2 linked regions of the Lepisosteus oculatus genome follow. The protein of the gene in region 1 interacts with the protein of each later gene in a pairwise test. Links are inferred from orthologs where the notes say so. Each region holds a gene or a part of one and is shown on either strand. Other genes may lie near its edges.

Region 1 (15,156 bases):
GAGTTAGGAGTCCTGTCAGTGCTACCGCACCATGTGTGCCCGGAAAAAAAAAGAAAATCGATCCTCGAAAGTTTGATTTAAAAAAAAAAAATCTGGTATTTGAAACTGCCTCATTTCCCTTTTAGGTTTCTGTCTAGGTCGGTCGGTCTTCCACGGCTCCCGTCTCTTGCTATCGTCCGTGCTCGGCTGAGGGGAGGGAGAAGAAAGCTACAACATGTCTGCGGGAAACGAGAACACGGTTCGCCTGAGCAAGTTCAAGAACAAGGGGCGAGACGCGACGGTAAGACCCCGACCGGCCGCCCGCTGACCTTTCCTGACCAGTGGCTGGGCTGGGCAGGGCTGGGCTGGGGGGGTCTCGGAGGGGCGCCGGTGTGACCCGCTCTGCCGTCCGCAGGAGCTGCGCAGGCGGCGGATCGAGGTGAACGTCGAGCTCCGGAAGGCGAAGAAGGACGAGCAGATCCTCAAGCGGCGCAACGTCAGCAGCTTCCCGGACGAGGCCACCTCGCCGCTGCAGGAGAAGAACCAGAACCGACAGGTACCGGCCCGGTCCCGGCTCCTCGGGAGGAGGGGAGGGGTGGGGTGGGAGAGTTTCTCTCGAAACGCCAGGGCTCTCGGGTCCCGTGGCTGTCGCTGCGGTTTCCTTAATGAACGTAAAAACGTGCGGTCGCGCTTGGCGTGGGTCGGCGCCGCTCATGGCTGCCGGTCTCGGCAGGTTCTGCCGCAGGAAGACCTAACTGTCCTTCCTTAGAGGGGTTGGTGCCGCCCCGTTTTGTCTTTAGGGCAGCTGCCCCTAGGGCGGTCACCTTCCCTGCCCTGGGCCTCTCGCCGCGGAGGGGGGGGGTGGTTGGGTCTTACCGCTGCCCGTCCGGGCCCGGAACCGCCCGGGTTTCGGACGGGTTTGTTGCTGGCTCTCTCCCCGTGTGAGCGCGCTGGTGCCTTGACGTGTTTTGAGCCCAGAGCCACCGACTGGGTCAGCCGCCTAAAACCCTGTTTTCTTGCTGTAGGGGGCGCCACACTGGACGGTGGAGGAGATCCTGAATGGCGTGAACAGCAACAACCCCGACCTCCAGCTGCAGGCCACTCAGGCGGCGAGGTACCGGACAGACTCCTATGAGTGTTTCTGAAAACCCGGGGACCAGACGCTGCTGCTGCAGCAGCCTGGTCTGTGGTGGCGGGAGGGGGGGTAGAACTTTAAATGTCTCTTGACAAGCGGTCTTAAGACCGCAGACCATGCTAGTTCAATCGGTCCTGAAGCTGCTTGTGAATCGAAGCATTTTGAAGTCAATGGAGAGTACTGCGCCGGGGTATTCCGATCAATCTGTTGCAAGAGCCCTGCAGTGCTGGCATGGCTCTCGTCCGATCCGTTTGTCAGCACGCGTGTACAGACACGAGTGTCCCTGCACTCTGTTCTCCAAGACAACGGGGGGGGGCTGCACTTGCCCCCTTACTCGGATGTGCGGGAGCTCAGCTGTTGTAAAATGTGAACGTCCCCCCCCCCCCCCCCCTGCTGTCGTGGGTCTTGAGCTACCTACTGAGCTGTGTTGCCAAAGCCAGGTGCTTGTCCTTCTGAGAAGTGGCTTGATCAGAACTCTGGACCCAGATGGGCTCTCAGTGGGCTGCATCTTTCATTTGGACCTTAATGGGCACAGGGTGTGCTATAGCCTTGAACAGATCCAGGTAGCCACTGCTTCTACCACAGTGCTTTTCGCGAGAAAGCAAAGGCTTGGCGTTATTGCAGCACTTTGCATTGGCTGCACGCGTGCAGAGTGGGGTCCCGGGTCCCTGGGGTCCTGTCTCAGCATGGGAACCCCCTCTTTCGTGCCTGCAGGAAGCTGCTCTCAAGGGAGAGGCACCCCCCCATCGACAGCATCATCGGTGCCGGGCTGATCTCGAAGTTTGTGGCCTTCCTGGGCGTGTCCCAGTGCCCCCCGATCCAGTTCGAGGCCGCCTGGGCGCTGACGAACATTGCCTCGGGCACCTCGGAGCAGACCCGCGCCGTGGTGGAGGGGGGGGCCATCCCCGCCTTCATCGGCCTCGTGCTCTCGCCGCACCCCCACATCAGCGAGCAGGCCATCTGGGCGCTGGGGAACATCGCAGGTGGGTCTGCAGCTCGGCTCCACTCGAGCAGCATCCTTACACCTCTCCCACGGCCAGATGGGGAACACTGTCCCTGGGTGGGGGTAGGGGTGATCCTTTGTCATACATCTTTTCTGGACACTCCAATCTCGGCGCTTCACAGGTAGCAGGGATCCCCTACACCACCTGTGTGCAGCCCCACCTGGATGATGCGCCAGTCTGCTCCCCACACACGAGCTCTCAGTGGGAGGAGAGCAGAGTGATGGAGCCAGTTCAGAGAGGGGGGTTATTAGGAGGCCATGATTGATAAAGGCCAGGGGGGAATTAGGCCAGGACACTGGGGTTACATCCCTAATCCTTTAGAGAAACACCCTGGGATTTTAAATAACCACTGAGCCAGGAGCTCAGTTTTAACTTTCATTTAAAAGTTGGTGCCATTTTTACAGTATTGTCCTTGTCACTATACTGGGGCACAGTGAGTGCCCTCTACTGGCTCCACTGACCCCTCTTCCAGTAGCAAGTTCCCCTTTCCCAGGGGGGTGTGGGGGGGGGGGGGGTGAACCCTGTGACCTGGAAGGACTTGTTCCTGTGGCAGGAATTTCAGCGGTGTTCCTCCCCCTCCTCCCGTTTCAGGTGATGGATCTGCTTACAGGGACAAAGTCATTAAGCACGGAGCCATCGATCCCCTTGTCACGCTGCTCGCTGTTCCCGAGCTGTCGGCCTTGTCGGTAAGTGCGCTTCGGCTTCGGCTTACTGCGGGGGATCGTGTGATGGGGCTCCTGTGAGTTCTCAGAGCCGAGACTTGGATGTTTATTCAAGCCTTTCCTCCAAGCCTCTTATCCAGGAAAGTGTGGTCCTGTATTGCACGTCTCGGGCGTCCTGTTGGTGAATGAACACTTCCGGGTCGCTCGCTTGGTTTGAGCACTAGATGGCGCTGGGGGCTCACAATCCAGTTCCCCAGGCGTGACGTGCAGACTCTCCTGTCCCTCGTGTCTTCCAGTCCGGGTACCTGCGCAACATCACCTGGACCCTGTCCAACCTGTGCCGGAACAAGAACCCAGCGCCCCCCCTGGCGGCTGTGCAGCAGCTGCTGCCCACGCTGGTGCGCCTGCTGCACCATGACGACCGGGAGGTGCTGGCCGACACCTGCTGGGCCGTGTCCTACCTGACCGATGGGCCCAACGACCGGATCGAGGTGGTGGTGCGGACCGGGCTGGTGTCCCGCCTGGTCCAGCTGCTCGGCTCCGGAGAGCTTCCGATTGTGGTACGTCTCGTCTTCGTTCGTCCCCCACGGACTCGGGACGGCTTGTATTCCTTTAGACCAGTGGTTCTCAAAGGCCTGTGGTCCGCGGACCACTTACACTAAGTCACAGATGCAGTGGACCATGTATGCCTATGTCCCCTTCTTACCCTGTAAAAATCACCTAGGAATGTACAAAAAATAACCAATTACTTTTTATGAAAAGTACAAATTTTTACAAACAAAGCTGTATATTTTGCAAGTGGTTATTACAGTTAATGTGGGGAAAAACTGAGCTGCTTTTCTTGAGCAATCGGAATGGCTGGTGAAACCCCTTGAACCTCCTACTATAGCTTGCAGTTCTTAACAGTGCTCCTAGGGGGAGCCCCTTTGTAGTGGACACTACACCATTCTTTCCTCCGACTTTAAGAGCTTAGGCTTGCTTTAAGAGATTAGGTCAGCTCCCGAACCACTGGTGGTCTGCGGACCACACTTTGAAAGCCATTGCTTTAGACTGTGGGCCTTGTTAAAAACAACTGTCATCTCAAGGGCACAGGGCAACACAGTGGGTTTAAAGATGGCTCCTCCTGTTTTTAAGTTTTGGGGTTTTTTTTTTGCATTTAAGGTTCTTGCAGATTTATGTGAATGTCCTTGCGACTGCTGTAAAGACAACTGAACTGTTCTGGTAGCTTGTGTTCTTGATCTCTTGTGGTGGTATTACAGGGGTTAACTGGTGCATGCATCTTGCACAGTGGTTGGTAAATGTACCGATGGGGATCTGTCCCTTGCTTACTTGGTAACTGAAGGTCTGCTTGAATTGTAAAGCTTATCTACCCCCTTCCCTCCAGACTCCCTCACTGAGGTCAATCGGCAATATAGTGACCGGCACGGATGAGCAGACCCAGATAGTGCTGGACTCCGGAGCTCTGGCCATGTTCCCAGCCCTGCTGAGGCACCACAAGAGCAACATCCAGAAAGAGGCCGCCTGGACCCTGTCTAACATCACCGCCGGGCGCGACACCCAGATCCAGGAGGTTGTGAACGCCGGGCTGATCCCGTACCTGGTGGAGGTGCTCCAGAAGGTGGGTCGGTGCTGCCCCTCCCTGTGTTGGGGCTTCCCTCTTGAGGTCCAGTTGTCTGGGTTCTGTTGTAGCTACTCTGACCTGTTCACCTGCTCAGCTGTTTGTACCAAGAACCATGGACCCAGCACCAGATTAGAATGACTAGATTGCTTTCTTGAACAAAACTAGCCAAAGTTTTGCCCCAAGTCATCCAAGAGTGCCCTTGCCCCAAGTCATTCAAGAGTAAGCTGGTGTTCTGGGGTTCTTTGTTGGCTCTGAAGGAGATTATATTTTGGGGGGGTTAACAGCTTTGGCCAAAAGCTCTGCTAAATCTTGAAATGCAAAACCTTTGTCCACAACTATAGGGCAGTCTTTTTTTTTTACTTTTTAGGTATCATTTTAAAATGTAAATCTGCGTTTTTCTTATCCTGTTTACCCCACCCAGGGTGACTACAAGGCGCAGAAGGAGGCTGTCTGGGCTATAACCAACTACACCAGCGGGGGGACAGTGGAACAGGTGGTGTACCTGGTTCAGTCCAACGTGCTGGAGCCCCTGCTGAACCTTCTGTCCACCAAGGACAGCAAAACTCTCCTTGTGATCCTGGATGCCATCTCGAACATCTTCCTGGTACGTGCTGAGCTTTGGACCTGCCTCTGAAGTGGTACGACTGATGTCCCCTGATCTTGATTTGTTTAGTGATGTGCATGTGGGGAGTAGTGCAAGCCAGGTGGTCACCAAGGGGCAGATTGCGATCTTTGCTCATGCTTGGCGATGGTGTTGAGTGCTGCTCCCATTGCTCTTTGGTGCCCCCTGTTACTGCCACTCTTAACCAGCGGTGTGTGGGCTTGTCCTGAAGGCTGGCGAGAAGCTGGGGGAGGTGGAGAAGCTGGCCGTGATGATCGAGGAGTATGGAGGCCTGGATAAGATTGAAGCCCTGCAGTCCCATGAGAACGAGATGGTCTACAAGGCTGCCCTACACCTGATCGATAAATACTTCTCTGGAGAGGTGAGCATAATATACAAGTTTTGGGTTTTTTTGGGGGGGGTCTGGTGGAATTTATACTACTGGTGTTTGAAATGCGATGCTTGTCTGAAGAGGTGCCAGTTGCACAAGCCTTGTGGGCTGGTGTGGCTCGACTTGTGACGACGAGCTCGAGGTTCACTGGGAGAATGAGAGGTGCCTTGTTCACTACTTCAGAACATGCATGGGTCAGACCAGCTTGTACTCATCTCTCTCTCTCCTCTGCCACAGGAAGAGGAAGACCAGTGTGTTGTTCCTGAAGCTACGACTGATGGTTATGCCTTCCAGGTCCAAGATGCTGAAAGCACTTTCAACTTCTAGAGTTTTTTTTATGCTGTCTGTCTTTTTTATATGTGTAGCAGTGTTTTCCATGATGTATATAACAGGTTACTGATGTGACTGTCAAACCTTTATTGTATGAAATGTAAATAAAGTTTATTAGATACGTCTTTCAAAAGTGTCTATCAATGCAGCTTAGAAGGACTGATGTTTCCACTCGTCTGCAATCTGTGCCTTTGATCTTCACAATGAAGCTGCACCCTGAGCTCTTGGCTCTGAAGTCCACAAGGGACAAGTTCTGGTTTCTGCTGAAGTCCTTCATTATCCCTGAAGGATAACACTTCACGGTTGATGGTGATTTCTGGACGGGTAAATTGAATGAGACTAAATGCATCCAGTTTCATGTTTGTGAGCTATTTTGACAACCTGGATTAAGGAACAGGTAAACGTTTATTCCATAATGAAAACGTCTTGGCTGTGGAGCCTTCTGGTTCTCTTGCGGTCTACACATCTGCCTACTCGAACCACAGTTGAGGGGTTTTTCCAATGGTTAGTCTATGCACAGGGAAGCGGTTTCTGTAGGATATCTGAAAGATCCAGGGGAATTCTTGCACCAGACTACTGTAAATTGTCTGCTCAGAACTCTGGTTTTGTATGAAAAGCAAGGCTGGGCCTGGCCTGGCCTCTCTTACTCTAAATGTTTTTTGGAGATCAATACGTGCTCTCCTGTCTGCCCTGGAATTTCTGAAGTAGTACCCCAGTTTGAGCAGGGACTGCTGTGTTAGTCCCTTCAGTGAGTTTTAACCTGGTCACCGAAAGGCCCAGGGTGCTGTTAAGAGCTACAGGGTGTGAACTGGTGTTTTGATTGTATGGTGCCTGCTAGCCTTCGTCTCCCCTTAATTTAACTGGTGAAGTGCCTGCCTGCCCTGTTGTGTAGCTGGGCTGCCACTGGAGCAAGGATGACACACCTGGAGGTGTTGCTGCACTTCACTGATGGAGAAAATGGGTCTCCAAGGTGTTGAATACAAGGAACTGGACCCGACCGGACTGAGGTGTGCTTGCAGGGGGAGCTGGAGGCAGGATTCCTGAAATCAGTTTAAGGGAACAGGACGTCCCACATGCGGTAGAGAGGTTGGAGTGAGCAGGTAGCAGTTAACTCTACGACGTGTGGCATTTCTTCAGCCTTAGGGTGTCCACGGAAACGTTTTTTTTTCCTTCAGTGTTTCAGCGTGTTATTGATGTTTGCTCCTGTACACTACATTTTAAGAGACATATCCTGTTGGTGTTGCAAACCAAGTTCTTTTTTTCCCCCTCTTGTTATGGTCAGCCGTATGAGCAACTGATTTCTAGTGGTGAGCGGTTGAAGAAGGCTAAGACATCTCCCCAGATCCTCCCTGACTTTTACAGATGCACTACAGAAAGCCCCACTGACAGGTTGCTTCACAGTGTGGTATGGCAACTGCAGTATTGCTGACCACAAAGCCCTACAGTGGGTGGTGAAAACTGCCCAGTCCATCACTGGGGTTGCTCTCCCATCCATACAGGACATTTATGACAGACGGTGCTTGAGGAAAGCTCTAACATTATCAAAGACCCCACACACTCCAGCTACAGACTGTTTGACCCTCTACCATCTGGAAAACAGTACCGGAGCATTCGGACCGGACTACCAACCTCAGAGACAGTTTTTACCCCCGCACTATCAAACTATTAAACTCCCAGCCACTCTCACCTACAATCTGAACCCTCACAGTGCCTTCCCTCTTCATCAAATCCCAAACACACATTGAAATCTACCTCTACCTCACGTCAAGAAGTTCACTCCCCATAATTTCCTATCCTTTATTTCATTCTGTTGATGTATGATTTTGCACACCTGTTGGTGTTTTGCACACTGCCTGTTGTCTCTGTCTTTCTTTTCTCATACAATTGTATTGTTGTTGTTTTTTGTACTACTTACCGACTGAGAGCTAGCTAAATAGCATCTCGTTATATCATATACCAGTGGTAGTAGTTCAGGTGGGTAGTTCAGGTGGGTACAGTTCACCTGAAGAAGGCTCCACGGCCGAAACGTTGTGTTCTCTTTCTTCTTTTTTTCAGCATGGAATAAACCTATTACTTGTTCATATACCAGTGTACGAGTATAATGACAATAAACTTGAACTTGATGCTATTGAACATCACGGAACTTCTGGATTGGATGGAAGATGATTGTGCAGCTACACAATTGAAGTTAACCGCGAATGCAGCTACACCAGCGTGCGCCATCACCGATACGTGTGCATCGTGTAGGATGACGGGGAGCCCGATGCAGGGGGCTGCGGGACGTTCGTTTTCGGCTTATTTTAAAAAGAAAAATCGCGTTTGCACAGTCGCGGGACCCGATGCACGTCTCTGTAATTTCGCAAGAGCTGCCGGCGTCTGTCTGGAGAGGTCAGCAGAGAGCCGTCTTGCGGAGGAGGAGAGCCGTCTGGGGGAGCTGACTGGGAAGAGCTTTTTTTTTATTTTTTTTTCTTCCCAGCGTCTTGCGCGGACGCGCACACACTCCATTTCCACTCTCACTCCAAAACCGATCCCGGTGGGAAAGAGTGCAGAGTGCCGCCGACGTCCTAGTGCGTCCGTCTTTCCCGGAGATGTAGGAAGAGAAAAGTGCGCTCGAACGTGGCTCGCCTTTTTTATTATTATTATTATTATTATTGCTGCTGCTTTTATTCTGCAAACAGGACGCGGCGGCATTGGGGGGGGTGAACCTGTGTCTTTCGGGGGAGGCAGGGAACATTTCGCGAGGACGCCGCGCGCGAGAGGGGGTGCATTCCTGTCCGCGTGAGAGTGGGGGGCGCGCGTGTCGGCGCTGGTGAAATAATGGTAGCGCGACGCACATCCGGGCCACCGGGCCGTGACTCCATTATTCAGCCACTGTGAAGCTGGCGAGCAAGAGAGGAGAGGAGAGGAGGAGGGAGGTTGGAGGGGGGTGGCGGAGGGGAGGAAAAAAAAAAGAGAGATACTTTGTAAATATTTTCTAGCGTCGCAACTCAAGCTGGAAAGCGGCGAAGGACATGTCTAACCAGGGGGTGAGGAGGAACGGCCCCGTGAAACTGCGTTTGACAGGTAGGTGGCCCCCCCCGTTTTTTTTTTTTAGAGGAAAAATAAATGGCAAGAAAACAAGAAGGTCGGGAGCGCCTGGGCTCTGCGCCCCTGTCCCCAGCCTGGACGTGTCCGTGTGAAAGGGGGAGTTTTGCGTTCCTGTGTTGTGGGCGAAACGGAGCCGACCGTGTGCTGTCCGCCGTGGCCCAGGGGCTCAAGTTGCCCACTGAGCGCTGAGACACGGCGGCTCTTGCAGGGGAGGAGGGCGGCGGTGAGCTGCCCTGGAGAGTGCTAGCCGTTGTCGTGTGCCTGGTCGTGACTGTTGCTGCTCCTGCTTTGAAATAAACCCGGGGAACCCGTCCGGACCCGAGCGGTGTGCGCCGTGCGCCAGCAAGTTTGTTCGCCCGGGTACTCTGCCTTTTTAATCATCGAATCGTGTGACGCGCTTCGGGGTTTTTTTTTGCATTAAAAACGTCCAGAATGGAGCCCTGTTTTTTAAAAAATGTTTTATATGCAGTTTTGTAAATAGCCGAGGAAGGAGGGAAGTGCATTTGTTGTCCGGCTAATTTGTGTTGAAACCGATCGGTTCTAAAACTGAAGAGAGCCCTAGGTGTAAGAATTGTTTTGCTTGAAAGTAATTCCTGGAGAACAGCTTTTTTAATTACATTTCTGGAAGTGTGGTCTGTTCCTATTTTTTTTGGGAGGGGGGGGGGGAATCTTCTCTGGATTAAAAAAAACTTAAAGTTGTTAAGTTTTAAGGTTTCGCTCTTGCGTGGCCTTAGAAGTCAAATAGAAACTGAAAAAATATAAGCTTAAACTTGATAACGACTTTTTAAAAAATACTGTTTGTTTCCGTCCGCACGTCGTGCTTTGTTTAAAGAAAATTAACGACGATTAAACGCTTCCTAAATAACATCGTTTAAGATGTGGAGGTGTTTGCCCTCATCGTTTTTCCAATGTTATTTTTTTTTAAATTAAGAAAGTTCAGTTAAGTTCAAAGGTTTTAATGCAGTTTTCTGAAACGCTTATTTGTAGTAGTTCGTTCCTACTGCTAGTATGCAGAGTAGAACTATCCCTGTTCACCCTCGGAGATCAGCTTTTAAAACAAATAACTTTATGGATGGGTGGCTTCTATGTATCTTTGAGAAGTTTGTAGGTGCTGGAGATGGAGACTGATGTTTCTGGTCCCGTTTCGCAATGGTTCCATAATATCTACGTGTTTCAGTGGTTGTTAGGGGGGTGTGGTTATTACAGACGAAATGTGTTACTGATGTCCCAGTTTAATATGCCATTACCGCTGATTTAATGTCTTCAAGCGAAGCAATCCGGGCTTCAAACACAGCTGAGTTTGAAAAGTATTCACGTCGTGCTCATTTCGAAAACATCTGTTTGCTTTTGAACAAGGACGTCTTCTTGTGAAGACGCAAAGTGAGGCGGTCTCGGCGACTCCGAAGTCAATAAGAAACGTTGCCTGCAAATTCCTAATAGTTTCTCTAAATTCTCTAAACTCTAAAAAAAAAAAACAGTTTACCGACAGTACCATGTTTTGCCAAATAAGTACAAAAAACAGTATCGACAAAACGAAAGTGTTAGATTTTGTCGTACTTTGGAAGTACTTTTTTCTCTTTTTAAATAAACTGAAACGTCTGTACGTTGTAACGATTTTTTTAAAAGAAGTGTATATACGCGCTTGGCTTAGTCGAGTCGGGATAAAGACAGAAAAAGTTTATTCTGGTAGATCTGTTGCAAGACGAACTTCAGCAGACTCGTCTGTGGAGGTCTCTCCCAGGCATGAGGCTGGTCGCTGTGAATTGTCTACTTGATTCAGTTATTTTTGTTTTTCCAAAGGGGACCAGTGTTTCCTTAGCTACCGCTTTAGTTCGACGGTTTATTAATAGAATATAGTTTTCGATTTTTCGATGCCAAAGAAGGTATTGCACAAGGTTACGAACGTGAAAAAAAAAACATTCTTGATCCCTGACGTAAGGGAGGCCGAGTTTTAAAATGAGTTCCATGCGCTCCAGAGATCCTCTGCTTCAGAAGGACTATTTCATTTTACATTTTCGTGTAAACGGGTAGGCGATAGAGCGTGATTGTTTTATTGCTGAATGATATCGGGAGTGAACGGTTGATTTATTTGGGGGTGGGTTTAGGTCCTCTTGGCTTTCTTGGCCGGGACGTGTTCCGGGGTGGTTCTGCTGATGGACTGGTAAGACTCTGACATGGCCTCTAGGGCAGGGAGGACAAGCCCAGAGGTCACCTGCTTGTCTGGGGGTCCTGCAGCGTGGTTGTTTCCTGCGGACCCCCTCGCTTCTGGAGGAAGCGATCCCAAGGGGATCTCATGGCCCGCAGCGAAGGAGCTCTGGGTGCTGGGAAGGGGAGGAGTCTTCCCTTTGGAAACCAGCATGATTCCATTTCAGCCCTGGTTAGCCAGCCGGGTAATTTAAACCTGTTGCCTTATTTTTGGGTGGGTGCGCCGTGGACTGAAGGGTGTTGGCAGAGCTGGATCGGCCCTTCCTGCCTCACCGGTCCAAGTGAGCACAGCAGGAGAGCCTGGTCCTCCTGACGCCATGAAGGGCATCCGGGTGCCCTGGGATGCGGGCGGTTTCCCGGGGACACCCAGCTTTTTCCGGGGTCTTTGGACGCGAACGCAGGGCGTGCCGGTATGCTTTGGCAGCCTGACGCAGTTCGGCGTTGAAGGAGGAAACTCCGTCTTTGGCGATGCCGTCCAGTCAGCGCCTCTCGCCAGCTTGTCGGAGGAAGTCGAGCTTTTCTTTCTCTTTATTTTTTTTTTTTGTCTGTGGGCTTGCCCTGAGCGTGGCTTTCCTTCTCCTGTTCCCCCCCGCCTTTCCGAGTGCGTGCCAGTCTGCTAGCAGGATCTCGGCGCCCGTTCCCAGCGCTCCGGCGGCAGCACGAAGCCCGGCTCTGGGGAGCTCACTTGGCACCAGGCTGGCAGCCGGGCCCAAGCGGTGTCCTGCTTCTCTGTAAACAAGCGGCTTTCTGTCGGAGCGCTGGGAGCGGGGGGCTCACTGCCTGCCTGGCTGAGCGCTCCTGGCACTGGGGTTGCGTCACTGACCGGCCAGTAAGCTGGTACCGTTTAACCCGTCCGGTCCGGAGCTCGCGAACGGAGCAGGTTGAATCGGGTGGCCTTGGAGGCCGTGAATTGATGCGGATGAGAGTTGTTCCATCTCCCCTCCGCTTGTCGCACTGTGGCTGCTGCGTTGACAGGGATATTGTCGCCTTATGTCATTTGTTGTATAAATTAAAGACTTGTGTTTCCTGCTTGCCATTAAATTAAAAGTGAAGCTCTTGACTACTTCTTCATTCCTGGTCTCAAACACGACTGCCTGCCTTTCGATTCTGTTTACTTATTGTGTTGTATTCTCTTGGAAATCTGTAAATGGCTGTTTTACTACCCACAGGTATTTCTGATCTTTCCTGTAGCCTTTACATGACCTATTAGTAGTCCTTCAGACTCAAACTATTCAGCTCGTGATACTGAATAAGTGCTTAAAGGTCTGAATTAGACAAAATGGCAAAATGCATTATGTTTTACATATCCTGTCTGATTTTTATAAGTTCACACCCTCGGTATATCATTTCTGATTCTTTCCAGCGTCCAGCTCAGTAAATGGGTTGTAAGGGAGCTGCAGCTCTGCTTTAATCTGTATTACCTTTATGGTCCAGTGCTGTCCGGATGTCTGCAGGAACACATCGAGGATGTAAACTTGAGAAGTGACCTGGACCAGCCTGTTTTTTTGTTTTGCTGGAAGAGGTAGCGTGCTTGCGCCTCCTGCAGGTGAAAGGCAGGGGCAGGCCTGCAGAGGGGAGGGGGGGGCTGGGGGCTTCTTTTCACAAGAGGCTTGTTTGTTTTTTTCAGCTTCTAACAACATAAACATGTGAACGCTTACACGCGAAGCCATTGTTTTGACTGGTGGAGGGAGACGGAGGACGGGATCCTTTGTTTGATGTGCCTCTGGGCTTTGGGCCGGAGCAAATTCCAAGGCTTCTCTATCTGTCGGGAAGAGCCAACATAAATATTTGATCTCGCCGCTGCTTCTGGTGGGCTAGGGAGGGGAGGAGGGGGGCTAGGAGGGCATGAGAGGTACCCCTTTTTGCCAAGAGAGGTGTGAAGCGACTTCTTTTAAATGTGGAGTCGGTCTCCTCGCATTAAGCATTTAACTTCGGTCTTCGCCTTTGTGTTATTTCCCGTTCGGTAGCAAAGATTAGAGAGCAGCACCTCAGGCTTAGCCAAGATGGGTCATCTGTAAGAGGAGTTCAGTTGGCTGTACAAATATAAAAAAAAAAACAGATTTTCACTATTTAGAATTTCAAACACTTCAACTTGCTTGTTCTCATCTAGACTTTCTGATTGTGGGGCACTTTAGTATTCATATGGACATTAACTGTAATTCTGCACAACTCAGATCTTCACAGACCCTTGGAAATGAATAGGTCTAATACAGTACCTAGCACTAGAGTGAGCACGTTGGCGATCCCCGTCAGAATCAGACTGTCTGGCCCTTACCTGATTCCTTTTGGAATTAACTTTTTATAGCTTAAAATTGTTTTTGCAAAATGCTTGTTTCCCTTAACCTTTAGCTTTCAGTAATGTGGTCAGTGTTACTTGATGTAATGTTGGCTGATATTTATCACCACTGCTTGCTCCTGATTTTTTTGTCTCAGTTCCACAAAGCTATCTTCTTCTCTTTTTCGTGTTTCTCTTCTACCACTCCTAACTCGGCGTCTACCACAGTCTGTCCTGTAAACTGTGGTTTCCTGGGTCCGGTCGCTTCGGTCTCTCTCTCGTATGGAGGAAAAAAGTCTTTCAGCCGTCTCTTCTTCTGCGGGTTTAGAAGCCATGGTCTGCTCGGCTTCTTAAAGAGCACATGTCTGCTCTTGGCTCAGTCCTGGAAAATGTTGTAAATGCTTCTTTACTCTGGCATGGTCCTCCTGGATCTGTATCTGGCTCAGACTAGAGGTGCATTTAAGAAATTGCATCTTTTTCTGAGGTTTGTACTACATTATTTAGCTCAGTTGTTCAACAAAGTGACAGCTGACCAAGTACTTCTTCACTTTTTTAATATTTTTAAATTGATTTCTTTTTTTATTACAACAACAAAAAATACGATACACGCAACAGTACATAGAATATCACCAGCGGTATATAACATTGGCCAGCAGCCATGTCACCCTGCAACTCACAACTGGCAACCCACTGAAGCTAAGCAGGTGTAAGCCTGGTCAGTACCTGGATGGGAGACCTCCTGGGAAAAACTAAGGTTGCTGCTGGAAGAGGTGTTAGTGGGGCCAGCAGGGGGCGCTCACCCTGTGGTCCACGTGGGTCCTAATGCCCCAGTATAGTGATGGGGACACTATACTGTAAACAGGTGCCGTCCTTCGGATGAGACGTAAAACCGAGGTCCTGACTCTCTGTGGTCATTAAAAAATCCCAGGGCGTTTCTCGAAAAGAGTAGGGGTGTAACCCCGGTGTCCTGGCCAAATTTCCCATTGGCCTTAACCAATCATGGCCTCCTAATAATCCCCATCTATGAATTGGCTTCATTACTCTCTGCTCTCCTCCCCACTAATAGCTGATGTGTGGTGAGCGTTCTGGCGCACTATGGCTGCCGTCGCATCATCCAGGTGGATGCTGCACATTGGTGGTGGTGGAGGGGAGACCCCATTACCTGTAAAGCGCTTTGAGTGGAGTGTCCAGAAAAGCGCTATATAAGTGTAAGCAATTATTATTATTATTATTATAACGCTGAGGTGCGCACAGCTTTCATGTTCTTACACTTAACAGCTTCTTCGCCATGGTTTCTCAGCACAGGAAACTGCCCCTCTGAGGTCCTGCAGTGATGGCCACAGGTTCTGGATCTTGCTTTCCTGTTTGCAGCAGTGGTGTGCTGGATGACTTCCCTGGCTGTTGTCCTTCTTGTTAGCATGGTGCGAGTTCGGAGTGAACCTAGGGCAGCTGCGTGGAGTGCTGGTTAGGGCTCTGGGCTCTGGGCTCTGGGCTCTGGGCTCTGGGCTCTGGGCTCTGGGCTCTGGGCTCTGGGCTCTGGGCTCTGGGCTCTGGACCACAGGGTCCCGGGGTCCCAATCCCTGTTGGCGATGTTGGTGTTGTACATGTGACCGAGGCACTTCCCTCATTGCTGCAGTGAAAAAGCCCAGCTGTAAAAATGTAGGTCACCATCATGAACGAGCTTGTTAAAGGCTTAAGAGAAAAATTAAACTTGAGGGCGTTCAGAAATGTAGAGCTCAAGTTCATAGCGCAGACCCAATACTGCTTCAGTGCAGTTTTTCTGGCCGTCAGATTGGGAAGAGAAACCCACGAGTACAATTATGATACAACCCTGGACACCTGGAGCCGATGACACAAAAGCAGCAC
Region 2 (16,326 bases), on another chromosome or scaffold:
TATTAAGTTCTGAGCATTCCTGTCTGACCATGTCTGCAAATCGGAACAGTAGGAGAATACAAACAACCGATGCCAGCATACTGTTAAGTGTAGGCTGTCTGTGTGCTAAGCTGGTATAAAGTAAGCTACAGTATAATGTACATTTCATAAAAGCAATTGTGTATGTCTCTTTTGTGCCATCCTCTTCAGTCATCAGGAGGTAAAGTGCTGAACAGTCCTTTTAAAACACTTGCAAATGGAAAACAAGACTTGTGCAAGATTTATAGTCTGTAAAAAGCCACGGGCAATAAAGTTTCTGAAAAAAAATAATCTAATACCAGAAATTTTGGATTGGTTGGCTGATTTCCCAGAAAAATGGGGCCCCAGTTTGCATTTACTTCTTTTTGTTAATAATGACCTTTCAGTTAGAATGAAAGGCACCTGTAATAGCCTGACTAACAATATTCTCTGATTTCTATAGAAGATAGGTTTTTCATTCATTTTCACTCACAAAAGGAGTTAGAGAGAATAAAAACAATCAAACTTTCAATCTGTAGATCTGTCAAAGTACTGTTTTAGTGCTTATTCGATAGTAGTTTAAAATTACACAGGGAAGTTGAAAGATGAACAGTGGTCCACCTTAAATAATAATCTCCTTGGTACCCCATCATCAGAAACATTTCTTTACATCACTTTATGAACCTCTTTTTTAATAAGACAAATAAAAAAGAGAAGCTTAGATATAAACATACTGCATAGGGCTTGAAGTGAGCCCAGTCTTCAGGGCAGAAGCGGGTGGGGGGGAGGGTGGAGATGGAGATAGACTGCCACAGAGAGTCTGGTACTGACCAGGAGAGTAATAAGCCAGTTGGAGCTGTGCTGGAGTCTTTGGCTTGGCAGCGTGCAGAACAAGTCGCCACACATGCCTCCACATCTGCCCTCATAGATGGCCACCAGTCTGGATGAATAGCCCCAGTTTAACACTTCTGGCTTGACCTTTTGGGGCACAAAGTGTTAACCCGGTGGGAGCATCAGGAGGAAACAGGGCTAGAGACTAGGGAACCCTGGGAGCACAGATCCTCGACAAGGTGTCAAGTCCTGTTCTTCGTTCCAAGGAGAAGAACGGGGCCCAATGCGCTTGCCAATGGTTGCATTGTAGTTTCTGAAAAAATAATTAATCTAATACCAGAAACCTTTGATTGCTTGGCTGATGTACTGTAGGTTTTAATAGTCCGTGAAGACCAAGAAAGGTTGCAAGGCTCCCCGTAGGAGGTGTCTCCACTCTTTTGAGGCTCATCTTGACTGCCAGCAGTTCTCAGTCGCCCAAGTCATAATTGTGCTCCACCAGAGTTTCCAGGACAAGGCACACAGATGGATCTTGGGTGGCAATCCAAAATTTTGAGACAGGGCTGCACACACTCTCATATCAGATACATCTACTTCCATCTCAAAGGGTAATGAGGATCCAACTGGTGAAGGATTGGGGCTGTGGTGAAGTGGCACAGTTTTCTTGCAGGCCTCTTATGTGTCAGGGCTCCAACTGCCCTGGCCAGGCCCCATTCCTGGTGAGAGTTATGATAGGGGATTTTGTTTTGGAAGACGGCCGGAACATTGCACAGGCCAAAAGGCAGTACTAGGTGTTCTTAATGCCCTGCTTTGGTATTGAAAGACGTCTTTCACTTGTTGCCTTCCCACGAGGTGTGGATCAGGTTGTGCCCCTCAGATCTACTGTATTTTAGTAATGATGGAGGACTTGCTGGCCCTCTTCAGCAGCGATGGAATCAGAGGTAAACAGTACCAGTTCTTCTTCATGATTTTGTTTAGTTCCATGTTATCAATACAGGGCAGAAGAGGTCCATCCTTCTTTGGCAAGACGAAGAAACTGGCTCCATTGGGGAAGAGAATGAGGGAATGAAGCATGTATGGAGGTTTTCCTACATTTACTGTATATTTCAGAGGCTGACAGACAGACCCAAAGTGATGTGGTCAATTGAGCCATCAGAGATGGATGAGGCAGGACAAAGCCAGAGGGGTGGAAGTTAACCCAGCCTTTAGGGAAAAAAACAAATAGGGGTAGGGGCTGCACTGCTGTGAGAGATCAGCTCCAGTGGTCGGGACACAGGTTGCTGATAGGCAGAGCAGGTTCATGACTAACTGAAATTCTTCAAGGAGGATTGAGGTTGAGTATTCCACTGTGACACGGGTTAGTACTGTTTAATGAACTGCCTAGGTCTGAGGATTGCTCAATGGTAGAGCACTGGATCAGTGGCAAAACAGTGGCAAACCCATTGGATTGAGCACATGTTAATTTGGTTGGAGGGGGCCAGATCACCCTGAGTGAGTCCGAGCAGCCCCGGGTGGAATGTGGCTCATCGTGGGAATGTGTTCAGTTTTTGAGGAAGCCAACGACTGTGAGCTCTCACCCACCAGGGAATAATACATACTGTACCTTCAGCATAAGAAATGTGTCCTACTCTTCTATTGCACGTACAGTAGTTAATAGTAACATCTGTTTAGTATTCAAAATTCTAAATAAGACCACCTAATATTTTCTACAATATTGTGTATTATAGAAAATAAATTCACCCTACCCCACCTCTGAAAAGTGATTGATTGTTGCATAGCATTAGGATTCTGCAGCAAATGATAACGTTCTACTGGGTAAGCAGTAAATCCAACGGATTTATTCATATTTTGAAAAAAAAACGCATTCTATGTCACTGCTCTGCTCCTGCAGAACAGATTTTTTAATCATTCTACATCTCTAATCTATGTGAACAGTCACTGATGACTAGTTTGTGTTTCAAAGCATAAGTAAATCTCCCATAATTCCATTCCATTATCCCTTGCAACTATTAAAAACACATGTTCAGTGATCTCTCAGCCTGAGATGAACTCTGATTAACATCTATTGGCATATCACAAATAAATTAAGCGTCTAGGTTTCTTGGACTGAGATCAGGGACAGAAGAGTGCTCTCAGTCAAAAACAGACTATGAAGAATCAATACATGTGTACTCACATAGCTACTCAGGAATTTTCATTTATTTTTTAAAACAAAATCTGTGTATTCATATAAGTGTTGTTACTGTGTTTGGTTACCTGTTTAGCCAACATGGTGAGTCATGGTAAATGGTGTTATTAATCTCTTAATTCTGCAGTAAAATTGAATGTGGTTGGACATTTATTAGCCATATGCAGTAAATACTTACAGAAAATGTATTGGATTCTGATTTACCAATTTTGATATTCAATGAAAGTTACAGATCATATGTTCATCATCACTTGATCTTGGACTACCTAAAGTAAGTGTAATATGCTGAATTTATTCTAAGTCCATTATAAAACTACCTCTGTCATTTTCCATCCTGTTTTTAACTACTTAAAAAGGTGTGTGCAATTATTTACAATTAGACATTGAATCTTGAATGGTCAGAGAGAACAATCACCTGTATATATGATTTCCATATGTTTCTCAAACGTGAGTTTCTTGAGCAGATTACTATTTAAAGGGTTAAATAATTATAGGGATTTATTATTTGTAGATTATTCTGTTCCCAGTCATTTGGTCAGTACATTGGGTGTAGAAAGATGTACAGTTTTTACAGGCATAGAGAGAAATACTTATACTTAGCCTTATCTATCTTCATTGAATCTGGTTTACCCATGATTTATTATAGTGCCAAGGAACATGTTTTGCATTTTATTTTTCATTGATGGCCTTTAATATAATAGATCATTACCATTTAATCTTCATTCATAACGTCTTGCCTTTTCTCTGCTGTACGTTGATCGCACTGAACTTGAATATCAGTACTTCATTATTTCTTACACATATTAAATCAGTAGCCCTTGCTGCTACACTAAGCAGTACTGAAACACATTTACAGTATAAAGACTAATTATTCAGTCATGATAAAAAATGTTGTAGGGAAGATTAAACAACAAAAGAATGCACAGCCAAGAACATTAGATAGAATATTAACAGAACATCACCAACAATGGTTAAAGCTTCCCTGTTAATGGAAAAACACAGAGACAACACCATTGTTTTAGACTGTGTGACATTAATAATGGCTTTGTTGAATCCTGAAACTGACACAACAAACCAAAAATAAATACTTTTTGTTTTCTTAAAACTCAACCTATTGAGACAAACCTTCTAAATGACAAATCGCTTACAATACGAACATTGAAAATGAAAAGTCATGTCTTAAGTCATGATCATCACACCTGAAGAAGGCCCCACGGCCAAAACGTTGTTTTCTTTCTTCTTTTTTTCAACATGGAATAAACCTACTACTTGAATCATTACAATATGTTCAATAAATGTGTTTATGTATAACTACAGAGGTTCCTGCATCAAAAATAACGATCATGACTCTATTAAAAACACAAAATATTAAAATTGTCTTAATGTCCTACAAGCATTTCAGAAAGCAAAAACTTACTTTCCTTCATTTAATAATAATGTACAAAAAGTATATAAACACAAACACTTTCTTTATTTCATATCATCAGTACACATGCATGAAAAAATAACCTAACTTCTAAATTGCTAAGTCACAATGCAACTTAGTAGGCTAATAGATTGATTTAATATAGACGAGACGATTACTGCTTCCCTGTATCATTTATTACCTGCTTTGCTACATTACAGTTTATAAACATTTTTGTGTACAAAATAAATCCAATGCAGAAGTTAAAATTGATTTTGAAAGTAACAGCTGTATTATAGATTCCATCCAACGATTTTCAAACCATGGCTTCCGATTCAGGGTCACAGGGGAGCCTGCATGGAACGCCAGTCCACCAAAGGACAGCCACAACCACACACTCAGACCAGGGTCATTTCTCCCAGAAATTAACCTGCCAGTACTCTATTTTTCTGGACAGAGGGAGGAAACTGGAGCACCCAGAGGACTCCCACATGAACTTGGGGAGAACATGCAAACACTGTGCAGACAGCACCCCAGGTCGTCCGGAGTTTAACCCAGGGCCCCAGGGCTGTTAAACACCCTGCACCGCTAACCCACTGCACCGGCCTGGCGTCCTGTTAGATATTTCTGAAAGTTAAATGCATCTTTTTATCTGTTCACCCTTCTGCCTCAAACAAGCTCTTGACTGCTTTCTATCCATGCAGATCATCTAAAATTATATTATATGACAGGCATTAAAGGAGGCATATGGAAATACTAGATGTGTACTGCACCAAAAAAATCACCAACCGCTATAAAGCTGGCATTTAGAAACCTAGAGGAAAGAGTCAAAGCTAAAAATTATCCAGAGCAGCAGTGCAGAAATTCTTCACACATGGCTTAGAAATCAGACATTACTGAGAGAAGAGTTTGCCGAGAAAATAACTATACAGACCCTCTTTTTGTGTGCAATGTTTATTTAAATCAGTACAAGAACAAATGTCATGTGTGCATTCCAATTAAACTGATATAACTGATTTATAAATCAGTATTTTAAGCATTTTTTTTTGGTCTAAAGAAATAAAGCGGGCATACAGTTTCAACTGAAGTGTCGCCATAGAGATAAAACACCATCACCTGTAATTTCTATCAGCTGGACAATGAAGGAGACGCACAATCATGCAGGTGAAAGCTTCTTCTGTTGCTGTGGTGACGTCTCACGTGTCTGATAGTTGGACTTTGATTGGTCGAAACCTTCGAAAGCGGTCTGATTGAAAATAATTACTATGTGTCACTGATGGACCCACAACAGCTGAGTGTACAACATGAGCTGATAATTACGCTTAATTTGAATTCAGGTTAATTTTATGAGAACTATATATAGTCGAAGTGACGCCAACTTCCTTAAGGGAGGATTTTAATGTAAAGTAGAAATATACTCTGTGGCTGCAGGGCGTGCATTATCTGGATTACGCGAATTAAAAGGTTTGAGAGGTTTAATTTTAATTTTCGCTCTGTGCTACTTCTAATGCGAGATGTTCATAACTTCTGAAGGCGACCGTGTTGTTTTAGTGGTGAGCCTATTTGTACGCGAAAACGTACGTGGTATATTGGCTTCCTAATTTACTGGCTAACAACTTGCCACACGGGCACGGTAAAAAGCAATCCAAGTAGAATGACATGCATGGCATCTTTAGAAACTAACGTAGTTATCCTAATTTTACTTTTCTTGCACCTAAGCTGATCATCTGGAGATGAGTTATTTCCTGGTTGGGGGCTGCAGGAACAAGGAGAACCTGGCTCCTATAGTACAGAACTTCATGGAAGTACCTCGCTCACAGTGGGATTTGAGGCCGAAACAAAGGGCTGTACTAGGATCTCTAAGTGAAAATGATCAGCACAGCAGATCATTTGGTCAGGTGAGAGGTTTTTAATGTATAACTTCAGCTGCCTTGGGTCTTTATGCACTTCATAAATCAATCTCCTAAATTGGCCAAGGCCCTGTAAGAGATTGCATATTTTGGCTGTCTGATTTAAGATTAATCCTAAAACAGTTTAAATGTAAATGTGTACCTAGCATTTGCATTCTGCTCTTGGTCTCATCCTAGCTGGCTTGATGTGCCCTGGCAATAACTTGTATTACTTAACCCTTTTAAGGGCACTCTGCACTCCAAGAATGGATCGCTTTGGGATAATGCATTCCCTTCATCCCAGAAGATGGCTTTTCCTACTTGTCCCTCTACATCAAACTTTGAAATCTATGTGGAGGAACCTGATGCGATTGTCCAGTCTGTCCCCAGCACACGACTGTCTGAAGAACCACCGCTGCAATATGAAGAGTCCTCCATGTTGGAGCACAGAGAGTTCTGCCTCTTCTTGGACCTTAGTTCGGGTAAGTAGTCTCAGCTACAACAGAACTGAAGATGGCTCCCCTATATTCAGAGTGGAAGTGCAACATGTTCTTGTGCAGAGCTATGATTGGAAAATGGCATCTCAAGTCTAGCTCTGCTTCATTTTATGTTGAGCATCTTTTAAGGTGGCAGGGCCCACTAGATCATGTATTCAAAGGACTTATGGTTTTACATGCTTTTGTCTCAATGACTGCCATTAAGTGAAACTATCCAGTTTCACTTCATTCCTAAAGTGAAGTATCCATCTATGTACAACACATCTAGGGTTTAAGTAAATTTACAAAGAATAATGGTTTGTGTTTCTGTGGTTCACCACACTGGATCTTTTTGTTGGAGTACTTATTTTCTTTAAATATGATTCATGCACTTGGCCTCACTTGTGCTGATTGCTGGCCATTTAGTAAATATGCAGTTGATTTTTATGCATGAACATCTTATTACCACTAATGATAACTGCAATGGACTAGTCAATATAATTACCCACTTGTAATGTTGCACAGTCACTACACTAGGTACTGTTACCTGCTTTACTCAGCAGGGTCATGCCAGGATGCATCCATGCAATCTCAACCAGAGGATGAAGAGCCCTTGCCACCTCCAGATTCGCTCGAATATGTGAAGGACATCTATTGCCACTTGAGGGAGAGTGAGGTGGGTTCTTCATAATTGGTACCCCCCTCAGGAAATGGGTGCTTATCCCTAACAAGCTCTGTAACCTTCAGGTCAAGTGCAGACCCAAGCCTGGGTACATGAAGAAACAACCGGACATTACCAACAGCATGCGCGTTATCTTGGTGGACTGGCTGGTTGAAGTTGGGGAGGAGTATAAACTGTGCCTGGAGACTCTCTACCTGACTGTGAACTACCTGGACAGATTTCTCTCCTGCATGTCTGTCTTGCGAGAGAAGTTGCAGTTAGTGGGGACAGCAGCTGCTCTTCTTGCGTCGTAAGTACAGGGCTCTTGGGAACCTACCTGCTCATTGATGAATTCCAGGCTGAGTAGATGAGCACCTTTTTAAACTAAAGATGGAGAGTTTAGAGGTGTTCATTCCTAATGCGCCCCTGCATTTTCTAGGAAATATGAAGAGATCTACCCCCCAGAGACTGACGAGTTTATCTACATCACCGATGAAGCCTACACAAAGAAGCAGCTGCTACGGATGGAGCACTTGTTTCTCAGGGTCCTAGGCTTTGATATGACTGTACCTACAACTTATCAATTCTTGAGGCAGTTCCTGACTATTGAAGCAGTCTGTAGTAGAACAGAAAACCTTGCCCTAGTAAGTACACTTGGCAATTTGGCTTTTAAAACCAAAGCCCTTGTGCAGATCTGGCACTTCGCCAAAAGATTGGGTGAGGGGTAACCAGTTAATGTTTCTCAAACCCAGTTCTTTGCTTCCAGTATGTATCTGAACTAAGCCTGCTGGATGTGGACCCTTTTCTAAAGCATCTCCCATCTAAGGTTGCTGCAGCTGCATACTGTCTTGCAAACTACACACTTAATGGGAGACTGTGGGTAAGCTCCTCTCTTATACTTGTATAGCTAAGCATTCTAAAGCCTTCTCTGTGGCCGGCTAAATGAAGCTTCTTGTCTCAAACAGCCTGAATCTCTCTGTGCTTTCACTGGTTACTCTGTACATGAAATTGCACCTTGCCTGCAAGATCTTCACAAGGTGTATCTTGGTGCAGCTGATCGACCACAACAGGCCATGAGAGTAAAGTACAAGAGCTCTAAGTAGGTGAACTTTTTTTTTTAAACCACTCCTGATTTGTGACATGATCTGTAGTAATGATTTATCCTCCTTTGCAGGTACTGTGGTGTATCTTTAATAAGCCCTCCAGACTCCCTCCCAGTGCATTAAAGGATTCCACTAGCCCTCCCCGGAATGGATCATGTGAACAAATGGCACTTAACTTGGCTAAAGTTGATTTTGTACCCTTGGGACTCCAGGAGATGACCTGCAAGTGCCTCAGAACTTTTAATCTTTTTATTTTTTTACAATGTTTATGATGGTTCTGAGATGGCTGTCAAATGAACAATAAAATTTTATCCTAAGTACCTTCTGCTTGCTTTTTGAACTCCTTCACTGAGTACCCTTACCTGCTTTAAGCTTATGTGCTTAAGCATTAATGGAAGGCAACTACATTCTTTGCCATTTTCCTTGTATCCCTTACAGTAGGCTGCCATTAACCCCCCTCTCCCTGATACTTCAAATTAAAAGGGGCTTTCAGCTGAAGCCTTAATGACTTCATCACCTTTAGTATTCCTATAGCAGGTTAAGTTGCTATAGATGACTTAGTCTGTCCTTAGAAAAGTTGCTGCTACCTGGTTTAGCAAAGCATCCACTAAACTATTAAAAGGTGCCTTCTGGAGTTTTTCCCTACTTGTTGCATCCAGCTGACCTATGACTGTCTGTCAAGCTTTCAATAATGTGGCTGTACTGCACCTGTAGATCCAATCCATGCTAATGGCTGTTGTTTGCATGGATGTGTTGTGCTGGAACTGTAAGGATTATTCCACCCTGTGTTGAAATAATGCTCTAAGTGTTTGAGTTAGTTACTGCAGCTTTATGCTTGGTGAGTTCAGATCCATGTGCCTATTCTGTGTTTTCCATGTAAGAAAACATGGAATCAATCTGGTCAGATTAACTTGACAGTTTTGACACTCTGGGATCTTGATGCCTAGAAAGACATCTCTTTATATAACTTCCTTCCCCCCCCCCCCACTCTACAGAGTAGTGTACTTGCAAAGCGATGAGTCTTATTGCAAGGGTTTTGGGGGCACAGTCTGAGATCTTCAATAACTAGGTACTGGTGTACTATTCTTGGTGCTATTGGAATGTCAATTTACTACTCAAAATATATTAAATATACCTGGATTATAATCCTGGAGGGCTAAACAGTTCAATGTGTAAATTCTAGTTGCAGTCCTTAAATGCTATTGCACTAAATAAAGATATGACTACTTTGAATTTGATCAAATAACCTGCTCTTATGCACTTTGAATATTGTAGAGCTCTTCTGAAGTATACAGTGCTTTTCTGCCTTTATTTTTAAAGTCCTGATGAATGGGTTATTCTTAAAACATAACGGAACTTGTCGAATTTTTTTTGGTGCTTTTCAAACGAGGTTGAAACGAGTTTAAGATTCTTAAAGTGTGGTGTTTTCGTCTTTGAAAGTTGATTCGAAGGATGCCTGGGTTCAACCAACTAAAGGAAAGGTTGCCATCTAGCGTTTCCATCAGGTAGCGCTCGTAGTTGAGGTGTTTGTCCTTCTGTGTCTGCCGTAGCCAGTGGAACTTTCTCGGACAGGTGATGCGGGCGGGCATATGACCCGTCTGGGGATAATCACTTTAGACGTAATCAGGATTGGATTATATACGACTGCGAGCTCTAATAAACCTGTATGGTAAACTGTTTAAGATTATATTGGGTTTCTTGAAACTGAAGAAATAAAGGGGGTTTCAGTTTTCGTTACAATATGTTACACATCATGTAACTATTTTTCTCTATAATTTCTTGCTACCTCTGTTAAAGGCTTTTTAAGAGGTTACTGTGCTAATATTTCGAGAAGATTTTGGATCCGCCAGACAAAGCTACAGTACTAGACAGGTAAGATGTATTAGCCTATACGTAGCTAAAGATGTTCTTTTCTAAACTTTAGTGATAGTTTAGGTGAGATTTAGTTGGTTCCCATAATTACATGGTTAGTATAGAGTTAACTGATTAAACAAATATAGTTAAAATGTGTATTAAAAGATGAACCTCGTGTAGACCTGGTTGAAAGGTTTAGTTCTTTGAAAGGAGCAGGCGATACGATTATTAATTACTTTTTAATACAACATTGCCTTTTATTTTAAACATGTTTAAAACTAAGACGTCACCCAGCAGCATACCTGGTTGTTAACGTATGTTTTTTTTAGTCACTAGATTAAAATCCTGTGTTCCCTACAATCCGAAAAGCCCCTGATTTGGGTTTTGAAAGATGAATGTTTAAAACGTGTGAAACTGTCACGGGGTGTTTCAGGAGCGACTGCATACTTTTAATGACGTCTGTGAGATCCACCGTTAACCTGTACAAATATGTCTGCAATGCATTGTTTTAGTAATTTGGAAATTGTCATTCTATTTAAACGTGAAATTTAAAAACCCTGAGACATGTCCTCCGGGAGCTGTCTTGGATTGGCTCGAGTAACTACAGCAGTAGCGGTTCACGCCTAAAAATACTTAGATTTTCCAAAGGATAAAACCGAGATTCTCTGTTGAAACTGTGTAGACGCTATCTGCTCCTTTAACATTAGGCATAACCCAGTTTTGTTGTAAACAGTCTCTGTCTTGCCTGAAGCAATAATGTGTTTCACCCGGATCTTCAGTAGAGGAAATAAGGCTCACTCTCGTACCATAGGAGGCTCTTGAATATATAAAAAACATGCTCACTGTGTGATACTGGTGACCTTTTGTGATTAGATATTCTCTATAATGTGAGAAGTAGTAAAAACGAAATACCTTTTTTTTCAATGGGTTGGAAATAAATTATAGAAATCTAATGCACTGGAAATCTAATCACCTTCAGGAGTCCCTGAAATGTCACATTTTTCTTAGTGTGTGTACGCCCATTACTCTGCATTTCTGATGGTTAACAGGCATGGAGAAGGTGGAAGCAGAGGAGCAGAACGATGCCAGAGTGCAGGTCATCAAAGAGGACTACCAGAAGGCCTTCGAGTTCATCAACAGGGGGCTGACGGAGGATGAGGCAGGCCACAAGGCCGAGGCCCTGATGCTCTACAGGCAGGGGCAGCAGCTGCTGCTCAGGGGGCTCAGCGTCCCCTCTCGGGGGCCCGAGTGCACAGGATCTAGGTGGGAATCTGCCAGGCAGATGCAGCAGAAGATGCAGGAGACGCTGACCAACATCACGACCCGCCTGGTGGCGCTGGAGCCCGACGGAGCTGGGACAAGCCCGGGTCCCGCCAATGGGGAGCTGGGGTCAAGGAGCTGCGACGGTTTGTACCCAAAATTGCCTTCAAAGGAAAGACCAGACAGGCCCCCTCCCCCAAAGGTCTTGTTCCCAGAGGGTCAGCCTCCCGGGGCTGTAGGCGGGGTGCCTGTCCCTGGAACTGCCCCCACGTGTCAGGGAGTCTCTGGGGAGCTGCCCCCAGCCTACTCTCCGCAGGCTGCCGATGGCCACTTCACCATCTCGTACGGGACGGATGCCGGGGAGCTCTCCCTGGTCGGAGAGAACTTCTACAGCTCGCTGCCCACGCAGCCGCCGTCCCTCCAGAGCCTGGGGGAGGATGGCGAGGAGCTGCTCTTCATCCAGCAGGGGGTGCAGATCTTCTTCGTGACGCCGGAGGGCCAGGTGAGCGCCCCGTCCTACCCTGGCTACCTGCGCATCGTCAAGTTCACCGGCGACCACTCCCAGGCGGCACCCCGGCGGCCTCCCGCTTTCCTGCAGGTGAGGGATCTTTAAAACCCCACATCTTTGTGGGGGTGAAAAAAGAGCACCGGCATGCCCTTTCTTTCAGTGATCACCCTATGGCGGTTTACTCAAAAAAAAAAGAGCCTTTCTCAGCACAAGAAGCATTCTCCACCCGCTGACATTTTAAAAAATGCTTTGGCATTTGAAAGATTATTTGCGTTTGAGTCCTGCAGCTGGCAAATCATTACTCTGCCGAAGCTAAAAAGGTAAAAACTGTTAACTCATGAAGTTACAGGGGCAGATTAAAGGAATGTCAGTTGGTGAAAAATGACATCAAAGCTGGAGAGACGGTATGAATGTTAATCGGCAGCCTTTATTAATGTGCAAGTAAGTCCCCTTTCTTGAGACAAAGTGTAAGATTGAGACTTCAGTTGGAGCTTGGCAGGAAAGGTAACTTAAAAGGCATCTTTTTATTCACAGAATGGAAGCTTCCGTCCTTTTAAGAAAATTGGTCTTCCGTTAACCTGAAAAACGGGTTTCATATGGTGCCCCGTAACATGGTTTTCCTGGTGCTGTTTCTGACAGCTGACATTTAAGATTTGTTTTCTTATTCCTGTCTTATTGTATTGAAATAGCTGGTTACAGGATAAAATTAGTCACAGTAGAACAAAACTATCGGCACTATTCAGAGTCAAGCAAGGGATGCGCCTTACACAATGAGTATTTGGTGACATTTGTTAATAACAGTATATTTTGAATATTTTTATGTTTTGTAACGTGGACTGTGGTAAAAACCTCCTTTTTGCGATGAGCAAGTGTTACTACCCACTTGGCCTACCTTGCAGTATTTTAACTTAAATTTAAATCTTTTTAAACTTGCAGTATTTTAAAACCCCTTTTCTTTTAATTTTATTAGACTAATTTAATTTGCAGTTTTACAAATAGATACTTTATTGATCCCGTGAGGGAAATTGCAGATATATTTTAGACATATTAGATGATTATGATTTATTGAGGACATTTAGCAGCCTGCTAACACTTACAATAGGGAGAAAAAAATTAATACTTTCAGTTTTGAAGAGAAAAGGGCATCTGATATTAAAACTGTCATTCTCAAAAAAGAATAAGTTCAGTTCTCTTGCAGCATTAAACAGACAGAAGGGAATAATCATCAGCATGCAAGCAATAAGCAGACATAAGTGATTGCTTCCTGCAAAACAGGATCTAACACACAGAAGTAGGTCAAGAGTCAAAAAGCTTACTACAGCTAATGCCCAAACATGGATATTGCAAGAAGGTAAAAATGATGTTTTCATACAGTAAATGTGCTTAAATCACATCTGAGAAGAGAGAGAATTTCCTCTAACAGAACCTGAAATCAGGAAGGTGGCTATCAATGTGAGATTTGATCTGTGCCACATAAGCAGTACATTGACCTGGGTACACTGAGGTCTGTTGGCAAGGTGGTGCGGCACAACAGAGCTCTGATTACAAGGTAGAGGTCGACGATTCAAGAGAGGACTTGCAGAGGTGCATGAAGCTGTTAAAAGAAAGAAAAAGAGTCCCCTTATGTGATTCTTACTGTAGCTCACACAGGCTTTTTGTACATGAAAGTTCAGAAGGACATACAGTGGCTCCAGACTTTCATTCATTCCTGAACAGTCAGCGGGGAGTTTTTTTTATCTAGGTTCAGCTTCAGAGATCACGAGGGTGATTAAGTTTTATTAGTTAATATATAATTTTATCAAAGGATATGGTTGTTCTTATATTGTATATATTTTAACTTTTAATTTCAACTTAACCAATTACAATTCTTGGTAATTGCTGGCAAAACTGGATCAGACATTTACTTGTTACCGTCTTAAAGTAGTTAGCCTTATCAAAATTAGACTGTTGTTTATTTTCAGTGGTTACCTCATTGGTACTATATCTGATATTACCCAAAATCGTAGACTTTAGCACATTCCCTTTGATTACTTAAAAAATCAAAAAGGTCCAAAAATGTTATTTTCATGTGATTTCTTTATTAAATTTAGCTTTATCTATGTAAAATGCAAACCCTTAAATTGTCAGTTTAAAGTCCTCTTAATTGACTATGTGCATCAGTTAAAGCAGGTGACTTCAATTCCTGCAGTCTCAGGGTTGACCTCACTGTAATCAATAACACATCTTGTTTACACTGGTCCTAGCGACACTGTAAGAGACTGCTGGGTAATTTTAGTCAACGGCAGAGATCAGCTGATATAGTTCTGTTGCATTAAATGTGGCTCCGCATTCCTGCCTTTTCAGATCACTTGCATATTATGAAGCTGCATGTCATGTGCAAACACACAACTTTCCACATTTCTAAAGCAAAGTTTGTTAAAAGAGACCATTTTGAAAATACTTCCAGGGATTTGCCTTAATTTGTTCAGAACGTCATGGTGCAGTGTATCATATGAAATGAGCTGTTTCTGATAACTAACAATGGAGAATTGTATTCTAGCTCTTTGTGGGACAGTTCAGGTGTTGGAACTATTTTCACCAAGTTTTCTAAAAGAAATGTGAGAGCCATTTTTATGGTCACAGACAATGCTCCATCAGACCCAAGAGAAAGTCACATTTGTTGTGACTGGAAAATGCAATTGAACTGTCCAGAGAAGGACCTTTTAATTTAATCAGTATCCAAAATCACCCATGCACAAATAGTATAGTAATAATGATTTTGATACTCAGTATAGATTTTTTTTTCCACCCAATTTATCTAATCACCAATGGTGGTAGATATTTTTCTTATTGCTATTAATGTGTTTAAGTATGTAAGGCCACCCAAACAACAATATCAACAATCACTGCTGTTTATATTGATACATACGTACATCAACCCAAGGAGACCATGCATAAAACAGAATACACATTGTAATTAGAACTTGACCATGAATCAGACATTTTACCTTTAACACAGAAGTCTGTTTTAGCACAATTTGGAAATGTGGTATTTCCTTTCTGAGGCAATGAAGATTTTTTAGTCCCACAATCTTTGCCTCAGTTACAAGTCAGTGCTCTTTGTGTGAGAGAGCTACAGTCTATCTACAGCTACAGTTTGCCAGCAGCCATATCACCCAGCAACTTATAACTGGCAACCCAGTGAAGCTAAGCAGGTGTGAGCCTGGTCAGTACCTGGATGGGAGACCTCCTGGGAAAAACTAAGGTTGCTGCTGGAAGAGGTGTTAGTGGGGCCAGCAGGGGGGCGCTCACCCTGCGGTCCATGTGGGTCCTAATGCCCCAGAACGCCGGAACGTCTATAGTGACGGGGACACTATACTGTAAACAGGTGCCGTCCTTCGGATGAGACGTAAAACCGAGGTCCTGACTCTCTGTGGTCATAAAAAATCCCAGGGCGTTTCTCGAAAAGAGTAGGAGTGTTACGCTGGTGTCCTGGCCAAATTTCCCATTGGCCCTTACCAATGATGGCCTCCTAATAATCCCCATCTATGAATTGGCTTCATTACTCTGCTCTCCTCCCCACTGATAGCTGATGTGTGGTGAGCGTTCTGGCGCAATATGGCTGCCGTCGATCATCCAGGTGGATGCTGCACATTGGTGGTGGTGGAGGGGATTCCCATTACCTGTAAAGCGCTTTAAGTGGAGTGTCCAGAAAAGTGCTATATACAGTAAGTGTAATAATAATAATAATAAGCAATTATTTTTATTATCTGCCAAACTGAAAAGGTAAACAAAGGAACAACAAATTTGTGCACACATCCATCTATATATAAAATGTTCAGTAACATTTCAAGTAACACTGGAAAGCAAGAAGACTAACATATGAGTGAACATTTGTAGAAAAAAATCTTAAAGTTCCATTAAAAAATTCCATCTTTGTCAACTCAAGATGGTAGTTTTATGTTGCTCAGACATCGAATTTCAATTCTTTAATGGATTTTTGAGAATAAAGAGTGTTTCTCCTTGTTATGCATCCTCTTGCTTTTGAAGTATGTGATTTAATTGAGATTTTTTTCTTTTCTCTTCATGTCATCTTGGACTCTTGATAAAGACATTTTATGCAAGTCCCACAAAGTTGAGTAACTGTAACTGAGTGATACACTGTGGAGTGAGATCAC

Evidence for each region.
Region 2: the proteins of smurf2 (region 1) and sparta interact in a two-hybrid assay, tested with the Homo sapiens proteins (2 studies listed by BioGRID and IntAct). The link is inferred for Lepisosteus oculatus from reciprocal best matches to the Homo sapiens genes SMURF2 and SPART.

Annotation. Positions count from the first base shown.
Region 1 is NC_090704.1:45,611,671-45,626,826, reverse strand, and holds the start of smurf2 (E3 ubiquitin-protein ligase SMURF2), read left to right. Parts: upstream 1-8,190; 5' UTR 8,191-8,734; coding exon 8,735-8,786; intron 8,787-15,156. Other genes in the region: kpna2 (importin subunit alpha-1), read left to right, coding at 215-280, 395-535, 1,005-1,093, 1,829-2,097, 2,710-2,804, 3,077-3,340, 4,165-4,398, 4,823-5,005 and 2 more. UniProt on the Homo sapiens protein: E3 ubiquitin-protein ligase which accepts ubiquitin from an E2 ubiquitin-conjugating enzyme in the form of a thioester and then directly transfers the ubiquitin to targeted substrates.
Region 2 is NC_090700.1:15,640,642-15,656,967, reverse strand, and holds the start of sparta (spartin a), read left to right. Parts: upstream 1-10,108; 5' UTR 10,109-10,419; intron 10,420-11,450; 5' UTR 11,451-11,452; coding exon 11,453-12,259; intron 12,260-16,326. Other genes in the region: ccna1 (cyclin-A1), read left to right, coding at 6,152-6,316, 6,555-6,789, 7,344-7,459, 7,531-7,754, 7,884-8,088, 8,211-8,324, 8,410-8,543, 8,619-8,670. UniProt on the Homo sapiens protein: Lipophagy receptor that plays an important role in lipid droplet (LD) turnover in motor neurons.